Linked DNA regions of Schizosaccharomyces pombe. The protein of the gene in region 1 interacts with the protein of each later gene in a pairwise test. Each region holds a gene or a part of one and is shown on either strand. Other genes may lie near its edges. The genes, in order: psm3 and mis4.

Evidence for each region.
Region 2: the proteins of psm3 (region 1) and mis4 interact in binary tests that used the Schizosaccharomyces pombe proteins (3 or more experiments, as listed by UniProt).

What each region holds. Positions count from the first base shown.
Region 1 is NC_003424.3:1,219,524-1,227,467, forward strand, and holds psm3 (mitotic/meiotic cohesin complex ATPase subunit Psm3/Smc3), read right to left. Parts: upstream 5,336-7,944; 5' UTR 5,314-5,335; coding exon 5,299-5,313; exon of another isoform or gene 5,256-5,298; coding exon 1,686-5,255; 3' UTR 1,446-1,685; downstream 1-1,445. Other genes in the region: Ino80 complex HMG box subunit Nht1, read right to left, coding at 144-917, 972-1,180, 1,232-1,274; rio1 (RIO family protein kinase), read left to right, coding at 6,076-6,202, 6,288-6,413, 6,516-7,756; autophagy-associated protein kinase activator Atg17, read right to left, coding at 7,893-7,944.
Region 2 is NC_003424.3:390,550-399,531, reverse strand, and holds mis4 (adherin Mis4), read left to right. Parts: upstream 1-2,592; 5' UTR 2,593-2,642; coding exon 2,643-2,751; exon of another isoform or gene 2,752-2,790; coding exon 2,791-2,986; intron 2,987-3,029; coding exon 3,030-4,365; intron 4,366-4,408; coding exon 4,409-4,876; intron 4,877-4,920; coding exon 4,921-6,704; exon of another isoform or gene 6,705-6,744; coding exon 6,745-6,880; exon of another isoform or gene 6,881-6,919; coding exon 6,920-7,576; exon of another isoform or gene 7,577-7,616; coding exon 7,617-7,694; 3' UTR 7,695-7,904; downstream 7,905-8,982. Other genes in the region: ATP synthase complex assembly protein atp25, read right to left, coding at 195-1,823; pre1 (proteasome core particle subunit beta 4), read left to right, coding at 8,359-8,943. UniProt on the Schizosaccharomyces pombe protein: Plays a structural role in chromatin. Chromatid cohesion molecule required for equal sister chromatid separation in anaphase. May form a stable link between chromatids in S phase that is split rather than removed in anaphase.

The DNA.
Region 1 (7,944 bases):
AACCTTGAAAAAGTTTTGCAAATGGCAAGGAGGAGGAAAATATATTGTGGACAAACTATTAGTTTCTAATCCAACCTTTAATATTGAGACACAAAGTTTAAGCATTGCCTCATTGATCTGATGCCTGCATCAGAAAGCTCTTTTTAAGCATTAGAGGATCTATTAACAACGGTGAATCCTCCCATACGAATTGGCTCTTGATTTTTTGGAGGTAAAATAGGCGAAGTGGTGGGTTCAGAAACAGGTTCTTCATCTACTTCCTTCTGCCCTTTTTCTATCTCATCTATCTGATTTTTATCACTAACAGTGTCTTGTTCTTGATCTTTATCCTTTTGCTTTTCTTTAGCTTTCTCTTTCTCTAGTTTTGCTGAATTTTGCGCACTTCGTCGACGTCTTGCTTCTCTGGCCTTCTCACGCGCTGCAAGCAATCCTTCATGATAAGGTTTCTTCTCTTCTTCGGTCAAATTATTCCATGTATCTTCAAGAGTTTTCTTCAAAGCTTGTCCCTTCAAGGTAGAGCCTTCGGCCTTTAATTTTGGTTTTTGAATAGACGAAAAATGGTTGAATAACATTGTGTCTGTAATTTTGGCATTAGAAGTAGCTTTTTTAGCTCCAGATGATTTTGAGCTTTCTGTTTTAAGATTTGTAATAATAGGAGAAGGTATTGGATCAGTATTCGTAATTTTTTCATCTTTTGATTGAACAACTTGATTTTGCTGCTCAAAGTCTGCATCTGTGTCATTGACGGATGCATCTTTAGGCTGGGAATTATTTGATGATTTATGAGATATTTCCGACGTGTTGTTTAATGCTACGTTTGTATCAGATGTTTCTTCTGTAGATATCTTTAACTTCTTGGCAGACGGGTTTCCAGCGCCTTTCGTTGATATTTTGATTTTAATACCTTCGGGAGGAGGCTACATATGATTAGTACAAGTATTACAATAAATTCACTCTATAAAAACACTTACAGGAGGAGATGGCTCAGAGCGCTGTCCAAATTCGCGAGATTTTGCTTCACTTTGCAATTCCAACTGTTCCATTAAGATAGCTCTTTCTAATCGGCCACGCTTGACAGCTCTTCGAATAACCTCATATTTGCTTAATAACTCCTGATTTCCTTTTTGGATCTCCTGAATTCTAGCCTTTAAATCCTTGCACTTTTGGCGATATTTAATTTCTGAGTATTCATTAGTAAATGAAAAAATCAATCAAGCTTCAAAATATTCACCTTCCGATTTGGAAATAGATACATGGTATGGAGGGTTTTCCATGGATATAGATGCTCTGCCTTTGATCTTGTTCGCACAATGTAGTAAGTACTGTCGCGAATTAAGAGCACTGACTGGAGGTCTAAAATAGCGAATTTATACAAGTCTTAACGCTACGACATGCTTTCGATTTTTTGAATACAAATAGAAATCTGGAAAAAGTTATTAAAATGACTCTCCATTGGGATTAGAACTTTAAAAAAACTATATGTGAAAGTATCAACTCTGGTAGTAATACGCACTGATTGATTCAAGCGCAATTGCATCATGAATATAAAAATTATAAATTAAGTATGATAAAATTAAATAACAGAGATATTAATGAAAGAATGACTAATAGCAAAAAGATCGGTTTGTCCACGCAAAGAAATTAAAAAGAAAAATGCGAACTTAAATTAACAAACCATAACCATTTTATCCTTCAACGAATGCCATAGCCTCCTCCTTAGAAATCGACTCAACTGTTGAAACTTTGTGATTAAACATTACTCCGTAAAAATTGTCCGCAACTTTCACCATCTCAGGCCGAAAAGTAGTGCAAATAAATTGACTAGTTTTTGACATCTCTTTGACCATCGCTGCAATGGCCGAGCGATATTGTGCATCTAAATTAGCATCACATTCATCGAGTATATTAAAAGGCGCAGGATCACAGCGTTGGATAGCAAAAATTAAAGTTAAAGCACAAAGTGACTTCTGACCGCCACTCAATTGATTAATATTCAGTTGTTCATCATCCTTACTGTTAAAAGAAACTCTTATGCTGATACCTGTATAATTGTCGATCGAGCTTTTCTGGGATGGCGTATCAATGTCCATGGAGATGTCTTGTTCGATGCTTTGACTCAATTCACTTCTTCTATTCATAACCAATTCACCTCTACCTGCCGGAACAAGTTTAACGAATATTTCAGAAAAGCTTTTAGCAACTTGTTTAAAGGTACGCTCAATTGCTTCATCTTTTCTTTGGTCAAGTACTGTCGTAAGCTCACTAATTGACTCCTGAGAACGACGCAACTCTTCTCTCCTAGCCAACAATGAATCGCGTTGTTTAGTAAAATTATTAAATTGCTCATATGCTTTCTTATTAACGCTTCCATAATCTTTAAGGGCTTCGTTGATTTTATGAAGTTTCTTCACAATAGCATTTGAGCTAGTTGAAACATATTTAATAAATGCTTCTTCCGGCAAAACCCCCAATGATTTAATTTTCTCGTTACATTCTTTTTTCCGTGCGAGAAGCAAACTTCTCTTTGCTGCGTTTCTTTCGTTAATTTTTGCATCTTGTTCAATTCGGGTAGCCACTTCGTGCTGCAATTCTTCTAGCGATTCCAATTCATTTCGTTTATCGCTTATTTCAGAATTGATTCTTTGCATTTGTTCCTCCAACCCAGAAGATGAAGATTTAATAATTTGCAATTTGTTTTCATACTTAAGTAGAGATCTCTTTACGCTGTTCAATTCTGATTCGTCTATTCTGTTATCAGAACCAATTTCAGCTTTCAATGGATTCCTTCTTAAATATAAGTTTGTATTTAATTCATATTCAAGAGCCGTCTTTCTTGCTTCTATATGTGCTCGTTCTTTAATGATGGCATCAAACTCATGAGAGAGATTTTCAATTTGACCACTCAAAGACTTTAGTGCTTCCACATCTTTGGGATCAAGTTCATCCATTTCTGAACTTAATTCAGATTTCAAGTCATTAGCTTGTTGTTCAAGTGTATGTAGTTCCAAAACAACAAGCTCAAGCATACGACTTTTATGATGCATTGATTCTTGAAGATCTGTTGTTTCTCCAGTAATAGTTACGAGTTCATCTTTAAGAGGAATATGATCTCTTTCAAATTGCTTTAAACTTAGTTGAGCCTTTTGCAAATCATCTAAGCATGCAGTAATTTTTTGGTCAAAAGATTCAATTTCGGAACGACATTTCTCCAAACTTTCTTGTAAATCCGAGAATTTGATCTGGTATGTTTTAACGTTTTTGATAGCATCCAGCCTGGAATTTCTATAATCACGATACCCGGCAGTTAATGCACCTTTTTTGTCAGATCGATCACCACTTAAAGTAATACCGTTTAATTGATGAGATCGAGCATACTGGGAGGCGGTCTCAATCGATGGACAAACAATGGTTTTCGAAAAAACTTGTTTAATCGCAGCATCAAACTTGGGATCGAACTCTAAATATTGAATTAAAGGTAAAGCATCACTGGCATCAGGATAAGTAACCGCCTTTGGACGAAGCTTGTTCAAAGGCATGAACGTAACTCTACCGGCATTTTCTTTATATATAACGTCAAGAATTTGAGTTGCGGTTTCATCGTTATCTACCACGATATGAAATAGACTGTTCCCAGCAGTAGCCTCAACAGCGACCTTGAAACGGTTATCAACCTTGAAAAGCTCACAAAGTGGACCATAGTAACCTTCGAGTTTCAGACGTTCAGCAATGTCTTTGACAGCTCTAATACCATTACTTGTATTCCGATCCATTGTAGTCCCCAAAGCCTTCTCAGAACGAGAAAGATCGTCCTTAACATTTTCGATAGACGACTTAAGTTTGGCTTCTTCTCTCCACAGAGATTTCCTTTTGTCCGTCAAATTTTCTTTCCTTTCATTAATTGAAGTAATGTTAGCAAGTAGTTGCGACATTCGATCACCTTGAGATTCAAGGGAAATTTCAATTTCCTTTTTACGAGATAATTTTGCTTTGAGTTCATTTTCCATTTCGTCATACTCAGTCTTCAAGTAATCACTGTTCTCCTTTGTAGAATTAATGTTACGGTTGATCTGTAAGAGCTGATTTCTGATCCATTCATCACGTTCTTTTTTGGTAGTGAATTGAGAAGTCCTCGATTGCTTGTCCAAAAGTGATTGCTTCTGATTTTTGAGCAGCATGATTCTTTTATTAAGATCATCAGCTTCAGATACTATAGCGTTATACTTTGGAAGAATTTCTGAAAGCTCATTTTCTTTCTCAGAGATTTTTGACTCTAATTCAGAAAGTATGTTGAGCTTTGAGCTCTCATCTTTCTTCGAAAATTCAATTTGACGTGATAATTGAGAAGACTGTAATTCCAATGCGACTTTACTTTTCATAATATTGGTATAATCCTCATCGTTTTGCTGTTTTTCAACACGTAAAAGCTCAAGCGAGTGGTTGAGCTCTGTAATTTCAGCCTTAATTCGTTCAATGCGTTCCTCTCTTTGAATGAAAGCACCCGAATCATCATCATTACGCTCAAGTGCAGCTATCCGGTCTTGTTCTAAGGCATCCAATACGGAGTTAATCTCATCATGCTCGCGAGAATAAATAGCATATTCCAAGCATCTTCTTTCGTTGTCTTTTTTGTGATAAACTGCAAGATCGTTTTTCTCCTCTTCTAACTCACGCAACCGTTCTTCAATGTATTGCAAAAGTTCATCAATTTTCTCCGATTTTTGAATTGTCTCGTCCATAATTTTATTGGATTCAGCTCTTCTGTTCTCATAAATTTGAGTACCTGCAACCTCTTTTAAAAGTTCTAAACGCTCTGAATCCTTTGCATTGGTTAGGGATGTGACCCTTCCTTGAGGAACAATGTAGTAAGGATTGGATCTTGAAAACCCAGCAGACTCGAGAAGATTAATAACCTCTGTCTTGCTTACAGTTTTCTTATCCAAAGAGTATTCGTCTTTTTTCAATCCAATTGTACGACGCAAGACAACTTCGCTTTTACCGGTGGGAAATCGATTATCAGCATTAGCGAACGTAACTTCAACGTATGCGCTCATGACAGTTGCACCAGGGCCTTCATGCAGCAAAGCTTGTCTTTCTTCACGGCTTAAATGTGTATACGCATCACTTAATACGAATCGAATTGCAGCAAAAAAATTGCTTTTACCAGATCCATTTCGTCCCACAATTACATTGTGGTGAGGGCTTAAAGGCTCTATTACAGTATAATCTTTATAAGATTTAAACCCTTGAATAACAATCTTAATAAATCAGTTAACTGGGGTTCTATAATGCTTTACTTACTTTTGTGATATACATAGATTTGTGGTTGGTTTGGGTTAAAGTATTTACGCGTCGCGTGTCTTCTTTATGGCGTGTAAGTATCAATCTTTGTGGTAACAGAGTTCTAAGAATCTACAACATAATAATTCATTCATACTAACCAAGATGAGAAATTCTTTGAGTTGTTGATGTTGATTTTGTTATGTTTTTTCTATATGAAACTGTATTAACTGAAGATCGTTTGCTTTTCTCTTTACTGCCGCATCAATTTCCAAATATAATATTTCTTTATTAAACTACTGGGAATGCACAATCAAATTGGTAGAAAGCGCGCTAGCTTAATTGAGTATGTGATTTTTTAGATGCCAAGTATGCATTAGTGTTAAATAAGCAAGCTGCTCTTGAGCGTCAGCGTTTCAGTAATGAATTTAAAAAAATGCATATATGAGCTTATGTATTGTTTCTTTTCTATCTGACTTTTTATTGTCAAGCTTTAATGAGGAAAGCCGCTCACACTAACATTAAATGTCTTTTGGAAATGTAATATATATTTTATTGATCGAAGAATGGAAAAAATATAATCCACTAAATTAAAAAAAAAATCATTGGTTTGCAAAAATCATCTTGTAACTTATGGTAATCATAATTTGCTAACTTCTTACATTTTTATATACCAGTTTTATTTACAACAAAAAGTTTTTACTACCACCTACAAAATACAAAAACTTGGATTTGTATCCAGTTCTTTGTCAAATTTTTAAATAAATTATTCTTTTATTGATTTATTTAAAGTTTAAGATGGTTGAGGAGTTAAAAAACGATGCACAGACAAATGAAGAAGAATCAGAATATAGCGACTTTAGTGATGGCTCTGACAATGATTACTTTAGGGAAGACGATATAGACTGGAATCAAGCTTCTTCAAGTAAGTTCATATACTGAATAGCCAAAAGCACTTTGCATGAATTTTTGTTACCATTTTTCATGATCATTAATAACATTTTTACTAGATTATTCTGCTAGACAGGAAAATTTTGGGAATAATTCTTCTAAGATCAATTCAGTTAATGATCACGTTTCTACGCTTAGTCGTTATGTGAATAATATAAAATTAAATGACAGGTTTGAGGCAGAGGGTAAGTGTAATATAGTTTAACTGCTCATAGGTTTTAGAACTCGAGGTCTTTTGATCCTTCACACTTTTACATTTTCATGTTTAATAGTACTGACAAATAAAGACAAGTCATCTATCAAGGATAAAAGTGACCGCGCTACATCTGAACAAGTGCTGGATCCCCGTACTCGAATGATTTTATTAAAATTAATAAATAATGGAACTATATCAGAAATTAATGGTTGTATAAGCACGGGAAAGGAAGCAAATGTGTATCATGCAACAAACGAGGATGGTAAACATTTTGCTATAAAAATTTATAAGACTTCAATCTTAGTATTTAAGGATCGTGACCGCTATGTTTCTGGAGAATTTCGTTTTCGTCATGGGTATAACAAGCGCAATCCCCGAAAAATGGTACGCTTATGGGCTGAAAAAGAAATAAGAAACTTGAAGCGTGTGGCTGCTGCTGGTATTCCTTGCCCAGAGCCAATCTTATTGAAGCAGCACGTTTTGCTTATGTCGTTTCTGGGGGACAAGAAAGGATGGGCATACCCCAAGTTAAAGGATATAGATATGACGCCTGGTGAGGCTACTAAATTATATCAGCTTGTAGCACGGAATATGCGTATTTTGTTTCATGTTTGTCATCTCGTGCATGCTGACTTGTCAGAATATAATTTACTTTATCATAAAGGTAAAGTTTATTTTATTGATGTATCACAATCGGTTGAACATGACCACCCGCAGAGCATCGATTTTTTAAGAATGGATATTTTAAACATTTCTACATTCTTTAGGCGTTTGAATGCTGGTTGCTTATCTTTACCTCAATTATTTAAATTCATTACTGAAGAAGGAAGTTGTGAAAAGGAAGCCATGAAAACCCGGTTAAATGCAATTTATGAGGAAGAACCTACTACAGAAGAATACGAAGAGGAATTCTTAAAAACTTATGTTCCTCGGACTTTAGATGAGGTATACGACATTGATCGAGATACTGAAATCGTAAACGCCGGAGGTGTTAATAGCCTTGTATATAAGCACTTATTAAATACAGACTTTCAAAAATTGGATTTAAATGACACTACAAAAAATCAAAACGATCAAATCCTCCCAAATGAGACTTCGGAGAGCGATGATGATGCAAATTCTATAAGTAGTATGGAAAATGAAGAAGAACGGACTTCGGATTCAAAATCATCTGCAAAACAAGGTAAAGGAAACGGACGTGCAAAGGAGACACCGGAGGAGAAGAGGGCACGGAAAAAAAAAACCAAAGAAGATAAGGCTGAGAAAAGAAAATCCAAGATTCCGAAGTATGAGAAGAAGCGCAAACTAAAACAATCTGGAAGAAAAAAGTAATCAGGGGAAAAAATTACGGTTATTTTATATAATTATCTTTATTGGAAAAGTCTATACAATACTCATAAACTAGTAGCATAACTAAAATCATTATACGTTTATAGACTTTAAAAATCGTAAAATATGGCTAACAGGGTCATCGCTTAGAGGCTGTAGTAGAAGATTTTTCACGTTGCTTCGATTTCTTA
Region 2 (8,982 bases), 830 kb from region 1:
ACTAAATGCATGAATTTTTGCATCGGCGTTAAAAAATTTTAGTTTAGGTTTATTTACAACTGGGTAAATTATAAAATACTATTGTTAATATTTATTACTTGTTCTTATTGAACTAATGAAAGAAGGGGTAGGTTTTAAAGTAAACATTACAAATGCGCGTATATGCATACGTAGAAAGTACAATAACATCAGATTCAATGCGTCATTGAGTTTTCCATTTTTGCAATATAATTTCGCACTGATGGAAACGAATGTGCATACTTTTCGGGTAAGCTTTGAACACATTTTTTTAAAGATGTCGCCATTAATTTACTAGCTGGAATGGGGGGTGACTGGCTAACCATATCCTCAAAAATGTTGGTAAGTACATAATTTATGACACGCTCATTTTTACTTTCGAAGGCCAAAAGGTATACGTGATTGTATAAACGTTCATTGAAAACAACACCAGCCTTTCTAAGATTATCCCAACGACGCCAAACTTCGCTCCAACGATTGCTTTTTGCCAATATAAATTGCATGAGTAGAAACGTGTCAATAGTCATGGGTATTCCATAACGGTTCATAATCCTTTCCAAAAGAAATATGCGGTTGTCGAGAAAGAAGTTTGACTCCCCTTTAACCATACAAGAGCATATCATAAATTTTAAAAAAAGTAGTTTTAGTGAAAATGAATCGATGGTTTTTAGATCGACTAAAGATTTATACATTAGTGAAAGATACAACATCCGCTCACTAACCAAATTTTTAGAGTGTTTAGAAGCCATACTCAACTTTGTTGGAGACAAAGCTATAGTACTGAAAAGCGTATTGATATCCTTTGTAGTCAGTTGCAAAGAAGAATCTTTTCGAAGTCGCTCAAAAATTGAAAGAGTAAAATCCAAAGAAAAATTATTAGGATTTTGGAGATGCATTTTCTTATATTTTTCCAAAGTACTCGTCAGATTTTGTGAATTGACGTTTAACAAGATATCCTGGGTATCGCAATAAAGGGATGCGGCACTTTTTAAAGAAAAGTTACAAGTATGGAAACTTCTCCGAAATACGTTCGAGTGGTTATTAATAAAATTTGGAGGTAAAGAATTATCAGGTGTAGATTTACTAGTGAGTGAGACCCTAGATTGTTTGCCATGTTCGAGATCAGAATACAAAGTTTCATCCTTAACATGTTCAATATTGTCCAGTTTATAGTATTCCCTAAAATTTTTTGTAATTACATGAATGCTTATGCCGAAGTTTTCGATACTGAGACATGTCCAATTATTTTCAGACGTGTTTAATTGTCGGTTTGACAAATTGGAACGTTTCCTCATTCTCCGTTCTAAAATTTTTCTCCGAGATGCACTAGTAAGGCCATCTACGTTCACCGGTCCAACGTTTTTTTGTTTTAAAAGGCGAAGTAAGCCATTAGTAGCGGATACAACTTCAGATCCACAGTTGCAAGAAGCTAGTAAAATAAGATCTGAATCACACCAAAAAGAATCGGCGGGTGAGTTAACAAAACTGAGATCAGTGGCATAATACTTCTTTTTAAGAAGGTTTAACACATCAGCTAAAAAGTTTGGAGCACCTTTTGGAATAGGTGGCAGCGCAACCGCATCGAAATGCGCTTTTTTAGGAAATAGATTATGTTTTTCATCCACATACCATGGTTTTTTGCTTGAGACTTCCTCTGGTTGCGAATTAGCGTCATTACTTGAATTATCAGGAACTAAATTTTCAGGAAACTTTTGAGAAGCGAAAGGTCGTTTGTCAAATTTGCTTCGAAAAAAGGAAACACATAGTTTGTTGAAACGTAGATAATTAAAGCGATATGTGGGCATTTTTTAATAAAATATGAAATCTCAGCACAGTCATTAAAAATATAAGAATTAATATAATTGAAGTGTTACCTTATAAAGCCGAAAAAAGAATTTCTCAATGCTGTTCTATCACAGTATAACATGAAGACATTGTCTTCTGTTTGAATAGTAATAGATAAAACTTAGATTAAAGCAACAAAAATATTTAGTATGTTTTAAAACAAGACCGCAAATTATTAGGAGAAAACCAAATATTTAATGACCTTGGCACGTTTTCCTAACCAAGAGACCGATTCTAAATAGTGTTCCACTGTAGAAATACGTAATCACCAATATCCGAAATGTACGAACGTTTCTTATGTCAGCAATACTACATTACGCTATGATACACTACGTTGCGTATCACTATATGTCACATGTTCTAATTATATATCGTACCATTTATGATACGATATGGAAATTAATCTTAATGATAATCTATTAAGATCTATATTATCTGAATACTATAAATAGAGCTACTGCTGAACTCGTTCCTCAGTTCAGTTATGAGCTATATTAGTGATAGGTAACATTATAACCCAGTTAATACAATACCTATACTCAGTTGCTACTTATACAACCTGTGTATTGTAATATAATAGATCACAAGGAAAACTCACCGCAGTTCTACGTATCCTTAAATCAGATACCAAACTGCGTAGCTTACATCTTAATTGCATTTTCCCGTTTCGGTCTATTGCCTTAAACTTGTTTACGCTTTATATATACCGACGTTTCTTTGTTTTTAGATGAATGAATTTAATGATAAATACTTCCCTTTCTTAGCTTTGCAATGTTTTGATGCTTTTCGAGATGACACCTGAAACCTTTAAAAAAGTTAACTCCTCTAATCGAATTATTAAAGGGCTTCAATACACACCATTAGCATCATCAATCCCATTGGAAAATGGTATGCATACAGTTTGAACGCGTCTATTAATTTACATAGGTTTACAAAACGTATTATATCCATCTTCTAAATTTCAAAATGAGCCATTGCAACTTAACTCCGAAGAATCAAGTATTATGCAAAGATATGTGGATATGCTAAATCCTGGCGCAACATTCGTTAACGATTCTGAAACCTTTAATTTTTATAAAAATGCTCTTAGCGCTATGATAACGGAACCTGCAATGCCCGCAATGTAAGTTAAATTTTTTGAGGTTTTTTATCTGACAAATATAAAGGAGGGTGAATGCCAGTCCGGTCCTAGACCAAAAGGTGTGTAACAGTGACTCGTTAAGTGAATTAAATGATTTTACAAAATCTCTGATTCAGCCAAGTATGTTGATGTGTGAACCCAAGGAGAAACCTGATGCTTCTTCTATAAATACAAACCGTTCATCTTCCGACAATGGCTTCTTAACTCCGTCTTCAAGTCCTCGAAGTCCATCATGTTCTCGCGTATTTAACGCTGTTCAATTATGTAGCCCTAAAAAATCTAAAGATGATATTACTACCCCAAAAAAGCGACTTATGGAAGACACTTATTCGCCTCGTGAATCTCCCTCAAAGATCCAGCGGTTGCAGGACGTTTTGTTAAAGCAGTTGCAAGATACCAGATTACTAATTTCTCAAGTTATAGAAGCTGAGAATTCGGAAGATTTTTCATCGAATTCTCTCTTTATTAAACGAGAAGACGATGATGGAAAACACATTTCATCGCACGCAATTGAAAAGCTATATATGGCATTAACCAAGCTTAGTCGTTTGGGAGCTTGTGACAAATTGCTGGAAGAAGGGAGTATAATACTTGTAAAACAAATCCTTGAGAAAGAGTTAAAAGAGCTTCCTGTCGCTTGTTACAGTATAATTAATCTTCATGACAGCCTCACACAATTTCCGAATTTAGACTTTATTTTAAAGACCACTGCTCTTGTTCTTTTTATAATATTTCTGGTCCCCTCCTTTAAAAAGCTTCAAAATGAAGAATCAATTCTTCATTTACTTAATATCTTACATTCCATATTTGAGTACACAGTTCCTGAAGCGATTGATAACATCGTTCAATCAAAAACTTCCGATGCTAGGACTTCTGAAATTCAACATCTATCAGTTTTGTTACAAAAAGTCGCAAATGTATTAAACATCTTATCTAAAGTTGCCCATGAAATTCCCTTGTCGGAAGCTGTGGTCATACGCATTGTATATTTATTTCCCAAAGTCTCTACACTCGACAATTCCTTCAAAACTAAACTTCCTAACTGTAACAGCTCATCCTTCGATTTTCTTAAAGCTCCTTTATTTCAAACGTTACAATATTTATTTCGTCTTTATCCTTATCAGCGAGATTTTATCATTGAAGAATCACTTACAAATTTTTCTCACTTGCCCACTGCTCGTTCGGTCTCAAGGACCTATAGACTCTCTAACGGTAAATCCATACAATACTATTCAACCCTATTTGTACGTTTAATTCAGTCATGCTCCATTCAAAACTTATTCGACTCAGAAATTGTACAATCGGAGAGCAAATCCACTGAAGCTTTACACTCAGGTAACTTAACAGAACATCTGAAAACAGTATGTAATGAACACTAAATAAAAATCAATTTCTAACGTGTAGGTCGAATCAATACTATCCAAGTCTCGACATGAAGAATACCGGATAGCTAATCATATTGTTGCTTATTTGCTTAGTCGTTCTTTAAAACAGAATAAAACGGAGAGTGACAACTCATTTGCAATTTTAACCAAAATCCTTTTAGAAGATTTATTAAACATGCTTTCTTTGCCTGAATGGTGCGGAACCGAAACAATTATTCGGCAATTTGCAATGAATTTAGTTATGACTGTGACTAACGACAAACAAGCAGTTTCTTCAAAGAATGCTGCGCTGGATCTTATAAGTCTCATCGTTAACAAGGTTTTGGCATTGTTTGATCTTTCCCTTTTCGAGAAGCACAATATCCCAGCTCCTACGAATTTCAATGATATAATATCGTTCATTCCCTCAATTACTAGATTAAATGAACTTTCTCAAGTTAGCTTTAACCATTTTTACTTTTTATGCAAAGGTGACATATCTCTGGAAGTAAGTGAAAGTTAATTGCTTGTTTATTATATACTAACTTACAGAACATACTCCCTTATAACTACAATAAATGGTTTTCATTTCTCTTACAGCTTAGAAAAGTATGCAATGACTCCGAAGCTTTAAAAATTATTGATAATTGTATCGATAAGAATATGCAAAAGTCTCAAGAGGGGTTTCAAGGTCCTTCACCATTTAAAGCAGATGAAAATGACGAAGATATTTTCATTATATCCCTTTATCATTCTTCTTTGTTTTTAAATTTAAAGTTTTTTGTCTCGCTCATTATAGGCTTTCTCGATAGTCCTCAAGCTAGTCTTCGAACTAAATGCCTTCGAATCATCAATCAAATGAAAACTATACCTTCTATATTAAGAACACATCCAGAAGTTTTGGCTCAGATAATATCAAAATCGAATGATCAGTCTGCGATAGTTCGAGATACTGTGTTAGACTTACTTGGCACATATATCATGGCATATCGGGAGACAATTCCTCAAATATATGGTTGTATAATTTCTGGAATTTCGGATCCTTCAACAATCGTTCGTAAACGCGCTATAAAGCAACTATGTGAGGTTTATGAAGCTACCGAAGATTTAAATATCCGTGTTGACATAGCTTCAAAACTTTTAACCCGGAGTAATGATGAAGAGGAAACAATCAGTGAATTAAGCCTTGAGGTTTTAGAAAAACTTTGGTTTTCACCCGCAAGCAATGAATTAGATTGTCAAAAAGGCTATGAGCAATTAACTTTCTTAGAAAAGCAGAAGTTAAGAGTTCAGTATTTTCCTATTTTAAAACTATGTGCTGAACCATCAACCGAAAGACACGTCCTGTTGGTAACGTCTCTGAAAACCATGTTGACTTCTAAGGAAGAGATCAATTTGAGTACACTACACACTCAAATTCGACTTCTTCTCTCTTGTCTTTTCAATCAGCTAATAGAAGTTGTAACCGAAGATCAAGTTGATGAATCAACAAAGGGAATTTTATACGAAATAATGAGTACATTGTTTGTTTTTTCACGCGCTTTTCCCTTCCTCTTTGACTTGTCTTATCTACACCTCTTAAAACCCTATTTACGATCTGCTTCAACTATTGAAGAGCAACGTTTTCTTTACTATGTAGTAGCTATTTTTAGACAGGTTTTACCATTTCAAAAAGAAATTTCTGAAAGCTTCCTACGGAGCCTTGAATCTGTGTTACTGCAAAGGCTTACTAAAGCCGGTACTGCAACGTTAATGGAAATAGTTCCTTGTCTTTGCAGCCTATTTACAAGACTTAATGATTATGAAAGGTTAAAGAAAATTGTGGTTTCGTGTCTTAAATCTTTAGAGGAGGCACGACACTCAGAAAACAATTTTCAAAAAATGGTTCGCTTAATAGACCTCATTGGGCTTTTTTCTAGATATGGGGATCTCAATAGAATAAATGATGATTGGAAACATTCACTTGATTTTATTAGTCCTGAGTGTGATGATGCTTACGTTATACTATTAGGTTATTTTCAGAAACTTCTAAAAGATGCGAAAGGTCAGCTGAGAATTCACATAATTGATAACATGAGCAGAATATGTTTAAGAGAAACATCTTTGTTTATATCTCCTCTTATGTTATCAACTTTGGATATGATAATTGCGGAAAATAATGTTAACGAAGTATCTGTTTTGTTTAAATCTTTTCTTGAGCTTTTGGCCGCGGATGAGGATCTTATCTTTGAAGCAGATCAAAAGCTAAGTTTAAAGGGTAAGCAAAACGTTCAGTCCAACAAATCAGTTGATCGAGATATGCTTAAAGGAACTAAGGATAAACAATGGATTGAAGGGTATGTATTTTATAAACAAACTATCACTAATTTAATGCAGAGTCAGTGCATCTTTAATGCAGCATTTCCTTCCCTGTATTCTTGACTCTTGCTTTTCAAAAAATTTAAGGTATTCAATGCTCGGAATTGAAATTCTCAAATGTATTATTCATCAAGGACTAGTAAACCCACGCATGGTATGCCACTTTTTACTTTTTGATTACTAATTAAATTAGTGTTTCTCAACCATAATAGCACTCGAATCCAATGCAATTAAAGAAACCAGAGAAGTAGCAATTTTGCTTCACACTGAATTGCACCGAAGACATGAATCTTTGATAGATGGCTTATATGCTCAATCTGCAGATTTAATATTTTCCCTTCAAAAAACGGAGGAATATCAAACATTTAAGTTAGGCGAATTTTCGCCGTTCCAAAGTGCCTATACCATTGTCTCCGCTGATAAAAGTTCAAAATCTAGGAAAAAATTAATAATGCAAATATTAAAACCTCTTAAACTCGACGGGATTGATTTACCCAGCTTTACAGAAGAAAAAGTTTCATTTGTAAGCTTTTGCTGTGTATGTCTGGCAGGAATTCCATACGTGTCAATAGAGGAACCGTTAATGATCATTTCAACAGTTGATTCGGTGCTCGCGACGATAGGCCCTACTATTACTGGGTGGATGAAAAAACTAGATCATGAACGTTTTAAAATCCTTGCAGGTATCAACTTGTGCAATTTGATATATCTTAAGAGATATATAAAATACGCATTTTCAATTTCAGACTCATCTCGACCTATACGTGAGAAAAAGCCTCTAACTCTTTTGAATAGAGGTTATGTGGATTTAATTACTTCTGATGCTAAGCCAGATATTGTTTCTAAGTTGGTAAGTTAAAGTTCCTTAACCAAATTGCTGACTGTTTTAGGTGATAAAATTGTTTGAAGAAGAAAATATCCTTTCTGGCGAGGATCAAGTTGAAGGGGAACAGCTTACAGTTGTCTAAATGAAAAAAGGGATTAAAAAAAAAATCAAAAAGCTCTCAAGCAGTATATTTCAAAAATATTTATTTTATATGGGTTATCAATATTTTTTTATGAAAAAACAGGTTATCCAATTTGATTTTTACTCACAATAATAGGCAGCAACATTTAAAAGTTCTGAACCATGAATACAACTCGCTCCAAATTTCATTTATGCATTATTTAATACCAATAAGACATTCTTTTCATTTATTGTTTAAATAAGTAACAAGTAAACAGCTTGAGATCCTTTTAATTAGATGTTAAGACATAACTGTTAAATGACACTGCTAGTTCTTTAACTATTAATAATAAGAAACAATCATTTTTAGAATAGTAAAGGAACTTGTATCGTCCCAAATTTTTATTTTTTGAATGTAATATTCAAATCAGGATATTTATATGTTGTCAGAGTATTGAATTTTCAAAGTACATGAGTAAGCACGAAGAGATAAACGTGCTACTACGATTACACTACAACGGCGGTAACCTTTAAAAAAAAAAGAAAAAAAGCTATTTCTAAAACACAGACATTTAAACGATTGAGTGAATGATTTCGCCTATAGTTTTCCATTGGCATCTCGTTAGCGTACTAAACGTCTCAGCTCAGCACAACACTTTACCTTTACCAAACCACCATCAAAAGCCATGGAATCACTACTGGCAGTTCAGGGTCAGGATTTTGTACTCACTGCTTCATCATCATCAGCAGTTCGTGGAATTACTGTTTTGAAACCTGACGATGACAAAAGTCAGATTTTAAATTCGCATAATCTTATGTTATACTGTGGTGAAGCTGGCGATACTACTAATTTTGCTGAATACATTGCAGCAAATATATCTCTTTACACTTTAAGACATAATTTAAATTTAAGCCCTGAAGCTACCGCTTCCTTTACGAGAAAGCAACTTGCTACTTCACTTCGTTCGAGAAAACCATATCAAGTCAATATTTTATTAGCTGGTTATGAAACGAATTTAGGAAAGCCTGAGCTTTTTTGGCTAGATTATTTAGCCACTTGTGTTCGTGTACCTTATGCCTGCCAAGGATACAGTTCTTTTTATTGTTTGTCTATCTTTGATCGATATTACAAACCAGACCTCACCATTGATGAAGCCGTGCGAATTATGAAATTATGTTTTGATGAACTTAAAAAGCGTATGCCTATTGACTTTAAAGGTTTCATTTGTAAAGTGGTTGATAAAGATGGAATTCGCGAAATCAATATTTAAATATATTAATTTATCCATTTCTAGAAGTCAAAAACTCGA